Oryzias latipes: one gene and its partner. The protein of the gene in region 2 binds, or shares a complex with, the protein of the main gene of each other region. Links are inferred from orthologs where the notes say so. Each region holds a gene or a part of one and is shown on either strand. Other genes may lie near its edges.

Region 1 (4,274 bases), on a different chromosome or scaffold from region 2:
TTTACTTATACAGGAATATAAAGAATTGCAAACTTAATAACTTAATAATAAACATAACTAAGTTTACTAAATTTGGTAAAACTTTTATATAATTAATAATCAAAATTACACAGTCAATTGTTTGAACTTAGAAAGGAAAGCATTTTGAATCCGTTTATGTTACAAAAGTGATATAAAATAATAATAATAATGAAACGAAGCAGAAACAATATAGAAGTTTTTGCAGTCAGGTGGCCTATGTATTTCAATGCGGCCAGTCTTTTACTATAGGCTGGGCATGTCTTTTTGGCTTTAAACTCGTCTTTTGAGGGCTTTTTGGGGGTTTTGTCGTCATTTTTGCGACTACAATTTTAACGTTTGTGTGATGGTGTTGTGCGTGTGTGTGTGTATTTTTGTTGCGTTACACAATTGTCGTGTCGTTGTGTGCTTTGGGCGACTTTTGGCCTTGTTTTTTGGCGTTTTGACGCGATTTTTGACGTTTTGGACCTTTTTGAGTGTTCGACCCTCGTAGCAGTTACAATATGGTCCTTGCACTCTGTGAGTGCTGCGGGCCATAATAAAGGTATATTAAGTAATGAACCTATGATAATAGATGTTCACCATCGAAAAAGATGAATAAAAAATTCATAGTATATCTCATTGAGAAAGTAAGAGTTCAACATTTTAAATGAAAATTAGTTAAAGTGGGGGGAACAACATATTTAAATAAATTAGTCAAATATACAGTAAATGTGCTTGGTTACGGTATTTTAATTACTTATATATTTATTTATTTATTTATTGACGGATGCTCACTTCAACACGTGAATTTTTTTAAACAAACCTTGTTGAAAGCAACGGTCCATTACACAGCAGTGCCAGACAACAACAGGAAAGGAACAAACCAGGGAGTTATTAATACATTTTACACAAAGACATTCAAACTGACGCACAGATCGAATGTTTTAATGGCTTTCTTATTGTCAGAGTTTCTTATTGTGTTCACGTATTGTTTGAACTCATTGAAAAAGATAGAAAAATGAAGGGTATGATTTGTAACTTTGAATTTATGAAGGTTCCATTTGCATAAAAACAAAAGGAGATTAATGATGTATAATTGTTCTTTATTATGAGATGGAGAGTGGGTGAGGCCAAACATAACATGTTCTGAGTATAGGCGGAAGTCTGAGTCTATGTGGGCGGAAATGAAATGTCAAACTTTAGACCAGAGTTTTGTGGAAAAGGGACATGACCAAAATAAATGTGCAGCAACTTCAGGTTGTTCTTGACAAAAAGAGCAGCTTACATCAATATCTTTGAAACTTTGCAGATAAGATGTTGTGAATTGACCAATGACAATAAAGCTGACAAACCCCGCCTCATTTGCGAACTCCATGACATCACTTCCTGTTTACGTTCCGTAACTGACGTCACACTAATACCGACCAGAGAAGAGTGTTTGGAAAGCGAAAGCTCAAATAACTTCACTGAAAACTTCAACCGCGCTCCCGTACGGACCGGAACCGAATTTCCTGCCTGTCAGCTGTGGGCTGAACCTCCGGGAAGGACAGGGAAAGCTCAGTTCACAGTATTATAGCCGCGTTTTCGCTCAGAAGACATTAGCTAGGCGAAGATCTCCTGCTGCTGCTGTGCTAGCTCCTGAGGACCTAGCTGCAGGAATTTTAGTTTTTTTTTTGAAAAGCCAACATGGAGAACAAATACAACCTGAAGAGCCCCGGTAAGTGTTGGTCCTTTGAACAATGTTCGGCACAAACTGACCTGTTTCCTCCACATTGAATTTGAAACCGAGCAGACGTCCACGATCTATGAGAACATAACCGTTAACGCTGGCAGAGTGAGTCAAACGAGCTTTTTACAGACAGACAGTTTGGTACGAGCATTGATGTAGAAAATCTAAACTTTGTTATTTTTTACGTCATAAACGTTTTATTGTTTTCCTGCTGGCGGACTCAACTTGTCTGATTGATGGTTAATGTTTACAAAATGTAGAAAATAGCACACATCCATTTCCTGACAAATGTGAGGCTTTTTAAAATGTCTTTTATTTTTGGCTTTTCATCTGTTTCCTCAGCTTCTGCACATTCAGTCATGTGCTCCTCTGGATCACTAAAAGAAATGATTAAGGAGAGTTCTCTAACCTAATTTACTGATTAGCTTTAAACAAACAAAAAGGAAATTATAATAATAATAATTTTAGGATAAACATGTCTGGATTTGAATAAACAAATGTGACAATGACACAACTGCACGTCTGTTCCACAAACCATACTGATAATTGACTTTAATATATTATTTCACTATTATAAATCCATGTTATTGATTATAGTTACAGCTGATTAAATGAATTTAGATGAAGTAACTCATGTGTTCATTGAAGCTGACGGTAGAAATGTGAAGGTGAGATCAGTTGTTTCACCTCAGCAGCTCTAATCAAATGTCCTTGCTCCTGTGGGAGTTGATGTTTCCATCTGGCCTTCAGGCAACGAGCGGGACGACAAACACTGGCAGTACGTGGCGTTTGTTCAGTGTCTCTGGAAATCCCTTTCGGTTGCACTCAGGAAGCCCTGATAGTGTCTGGTTGCAGCTGTGTGTTAAGGCCTACATGGTGCTGGTTTCACAGCTTCTGCATCAGGATAGGGAAACTCACATAATTAAAATAGTACACCAAGAATAATTGTAAAGCAGATGAAGAAATATTGTTCCCAGGGTGTTATTAGTTACCTAAGGAAACTAAGGTGAACTATTCCCCAAAGTTCAATTGACTTTTTTAAGGAAATTATGTTGAATACTCTACGAATAAATGTACTTAATTTTTTGTCCATTAACAAATTTTAGCATTAATTCAATGCTTTATTGGAAAAATGAAATATGAACCCAATTCCCATTTCTGGTCTTTTATATACTAAAGGGCTTTATATATGTTGTGAAGGCTCAGCCCATTATTGATGACATCACAGGAAGTGATGTGGAGTTTCTTTCTTCTTCTATGGTTTTCTGGGTTTTTGTTTTTACGTGTGCTCTGGAGCAGCTCAGCAGAGACAGACTCTAGTTGCCCTACAACCCTGTCTTGCATCTTCAGTTCATTCCAGTTGCTGTATTTTTCAATTTTGAGTAACTGAGAAAACGTAAGAGTTTAAATCATTACTCATTTTATTCATGCAGTTATTTCCTCGGCCACGTTTTCTATGAGGTTTTCAGATTTAATTATATTTTACATATTATAAGGAGTTAATTTTTGACCCACTGAGTCAGTTTTCCTTGTTTTATGTAATTTACTTTATCTACAGCAGGCCAGTTTGTGTTATTTATGTAGTGGTGAGAGGAGTCTTTTGTTGTTTGCAGAGGGACTTGGATAAATCAGCAATAGAATAAATTCAGAGCATCTGCCAAGTGGAGTCACATCTCCATGTGTCCTGACCGACACCCCATCTTGTTTATGTTTAAACTCCTACCGCGAATCAGTGATACAATCCTCCATCCTCACAGTCCTCCATAACAATATAATTATGAAAACATTTATTAAAAAATGGCATTTCTTCATTTGTTTTCAGTGTTCCCTTCTCTATTGCGGGGGATATGTTCCATAAATTACCTGCGATTGGTGAAATCTACGAAGTAGGATTACAGATGTTTTAAGGCTTTAAAACTCCTCACGATACACTTTCTACACTTTTCTTAGACACACATGAACATTCTCACACTTTTCTCTATTGTTTGATTTCAAACCTTCATTAAAAACCAACTCTAGTATTATAGAATAAAAACAAAGATCTAATCCCGATGGAAGATTTTTGTAAATTTGGCACAGTGAAGGCATTCTGTATAGAAAAAAAAATGAAGATAATTGATTGACAAGGGCAACAACCAATCAGGATGTAAGTATGCAAAATTGTACAGAAATTTCTTTGCTTGTACACAAGTTGAACCGCAATATAATAAGGGAACACTATTTTTCTTCTCTCCCTCCATCCAACCCTCTACTCACTCATTACAACAATCGTATTGTCCTCTTTGTCTACATCCATGAACTTCTTTGGTCTTCCTCTTTCCTGCTACATCTAACAGCATTTCAGCATCCTTTTTCCAACATCATCACTGTTTCTCCTCTAAAAGTGTCCAAACCATCTCCATCTGCTTCCCTGCATTTATCATCTATCATGATCTGTTCCTCTGATGGATTCATTCCTGATCCATTCTGGTATCTCCCAAAGAGAACCGCAACATCTTCACCTCTGCTACTTCCATCTTTGCTTCCTGTCTCTGCAACAAAGTCT
Region 2 (3,067 bases):
TTAAAAAGGATTTTAGCTAGAGAAATTTATTTAGCTTCAGCTTCTGCCCATCTCCTTTTTAAAATGTTTTTTTTCCTTAAGTTCTGTTAAATTGAGTCTTTTTTTCTTCTTTTCATTCATAAAATGAAATCGATTGACTATTTTTGTCGGCGAGTGTATATGATTTATCTATTGTTTTTATGTTTAAAATAAATAACTAAATAACACAGTTTAAGTGGTGATTCGCCTGTGATTCTGGTGCTACTCCAATTTTAATAAAAGCTGGGGTTCAATAGCAGAATTTGTTGCTGATGTCATCTGACTGAGTATAACCTCTAATTTATTGTTTCTAGATCATATTTATAAGACAAACAAGAACAGATAAGAAGTAAAGTGTATTTTTAAGTTTATGAAACCTGTGTGGTTTCCAGTAAAGTCTTTATGTTTGCACTCGTCCTTCCTTCTTCCTAGATCGTCGCTGGAACAACCCAGCTGTTTGCTGGAACAGCCGAGTTCCAACACTGAATCTTACTACAGACAACTAATGCAGTAGTCTTTACCATGGCGTAATGTTCTTTGCAGTTTGGGATGACAAAAATAATCAAAATAGAATTAGCTGTGCTTAAAAAGAACTCACTGTTTTTACATGTGCATTGTATAATAAAGAGCTAAATCTAAATGAAATAGTAAACATAGTTACTGTCAATGCGTTTTCCATGAAGGACAGAGGCAGAAATTGTAAGCACGTTTACTCAAACAGCTTCATTATCATGTAAGCAGTGCAAACATAAAAAACAAACAAGATTCAGGAACATACTGAGCTAAAACTCATGTAAATACAGAAGTCCAGGTGGCCGTGTACAAAATCAGCCCTTTACGTTCATGTTTGAAGGGTTTTATGAGCATTGCAGGTTTGTTTTTCTGTGCTAAATCAATTAAATGTTCATGTTCAAAACAGACTTAAATAGGCCTTCCAGCGTTTTTTTATTGGAACAAAAAAAGACTTTCATTTTCCCTGAATCTTTTCATCTTGTGCACAAATAAAAGCATGTCTGAAGTGAATTTAAACTTTTAACCAAAATCGTCAAGAGCTGGAATGTCAATCAACTAGTTTATAATGTTCTGCTCCACTGCTGTTTTAGGTAAAAGGAAAAAAAAAAAATCATATAAATAGCAAAATAGATTTAAGTGGAGCTTCCTGTGCAACCTCACATGCTCTATTGAGTCCAACTCCTCTTCTGAGTCCCTCACTTGTACAGTAAAGATCATCGATGGCAAAACTGCAGACAGCTGTGGCAAACATGTTGGCGACCTCTGAACGGGAAGCAAGAAAATGTCTAACGATGCATCAGCCTGCTATTTTCCTCATTTATGAAAACAGAATCCCATGAAAGGGAAAATAACAGCTTTATTTAACTGCACTAGAACAGCAGACACTGTGCAACACATGAACGACGCCTGTTGAAGGCATCAGGTTATTGCAGTCTTAAGACACACACGCTCTTCCTGAATGTGCAAAGTGTCATCATTGGCTCGATTCAGCAGCAACCAGGAGGATTCTCCCCATTTGTGATGACACCTTCACGTTCTCCCCGTCGGGCTCCTGATGACTGGACCGGCAGAAGAGCGGCGGTGACGGCGTGAGCTCATACGTCCATATCGTCAGAGTCCGATGATGTGCTGGAGGACTGAGATTCCTCCCGATTCTCTCCCCACACAAACCGATAGTTGTTCTCCAACTCCTGCTGCCTCTTTTGTTCCTTGTAAACTTCCTCAGTGCCTCCAGTCTGTGGGAGGGGGGGGGGGGACGACAACAGATCCAGAGTCACATGACCACTGCCAGAGTTCAATATGAAGAAACCTACAATTGTTCGCATGAACATGGATCCCAAGCTGAATGTGTTCCTCTGTGTGTGAAAGCGTCCAGCAGGGATCAGATGTGGATGCCGTTGTTAAAGCAGAACCGTACATTCTAATGAAAATAAAAGTTATACTTTGATCAAATCTTTTTTAATCCTGACGCATTTGAATATTTAACACCCCCCCCCCCCCCATTATCTGAGAAAAAAAAAAAATCACCGTTGACGCATATATGAGGTGATTGAAAGACCTACTCCAATGAAAATGCATTTTTTGGGTGTGTTTTTAACATGCTCACAGCAGCATTTTTCTCACGAATGTGGACATACATAAAGAAAATTCAGCTCAAAGTTGCATTTCTGATCATTTGTGATTCAGGAGCAGATGAATAAACGCTGCTTGAAAAAGCTATCAGTTGTTCTGTACAAACTACAATCAGCGAGACACAGTCTTCCTGCTCCGCTCCATTCTGATCATCCACTGTCAGACCAATAGAAACATGAACGTCTTTGTTTTCCCCTGTCTGAGCTGGAATCTGGCTGGACAGCTCCTCCATTGCTCCACTTTTGTTGCACTGTTAATGTTGGGTTGTGGGTGTGAGGGGCTGTAAGCTAGCTGGAGAGCATGTAAACAGACTTCACAGCAACAGTGGGGAGGGGTTAGTCTGTGCCAACCATCCCTGCTCACAACTCAGAGGTGAATGTGATTAAAAAAGTTGTTTTATTTCGGCTAAAAACGCCATAATCATAAAGAAAAGACCACTGGGAATGTTTCTACATAAGGGGATCAGAGTAAAACACCTGAAAAATGCAACAGAAAAGGAAAACCTTTTGGGTTTAGTTTTTTTTTTTTTTTTTAGATTTTCCACCTATCCCACAAATCCGAAGTCCACAAAACTCAACTCTGACAAATCAGAAACTCTCCATCACAAACATTTCCCATCACTATTCTAATCCAATCACAGGACACTTTCTGTTTTATTTTTTAATAAAAGAAATAATAGTTGCTCAAAAGCTAAATTAAAGGTAAACCTTTGCTACAGTGAATTATTTTTCTTTTAAAGTCAACTGTAATTGATTAATTAATTAACAGAGCTTCAATAGATGACTCAATGGAGAAAAGGCGACGCCGTCTCAGTCTTTTCTGGAATATTTGCTTACAGCCGATTTGCATAACTAACACTTTCAATTTATATACAGCAGACCTGACTTGTCTTTGTGTTTAGAAC

What was found.
Region 1: os9 (region 2) and ube2j1 share a complex: the UniProt entries of both Homo sapiens proteins name them as parts of the HRD1 complex. The link is inferred for Oryzias latipes from reciprocal best matches to the Homo sapiens genes OS9 and UBE2J1.

The regions. Positions count from the first base shown.
Region 1 is NC_019882.2:20,253,811-20,258,084, forward strand, and holds the start of ube2j1 (ubiquitin-conjugating enzyme E2 J1), read left to right. Parts: upstream 1-1,387; 5' UTR 1,388-1,686; coding exon 1,687-1,717; intron 1,718-4,274. UniProt on the Homo sapiens protein: Catalyzes the covalent attachment of ubiquitin to other proteins. Functions in the selective degradation of misfolded membrane proteins from the endoplasmic reticulum (ERAD) and is essential for cells to recover from ER stress.
Region 2 is NC_019863.2:4,136,663-4,139,729, reverse strand, and holds the end of os9 (protein OS-9), read right to left. Parts: intron 1,767-3,067; coding exon 1,626-1,766; 3' UTR 712-1,625; downstream 1-711. UniProt on the Homo sapiens protein: Lectin component of the HRD1 complex, which functions in endoplasmic reticulum (ER) quality control and ER-associated degradation (ERAD).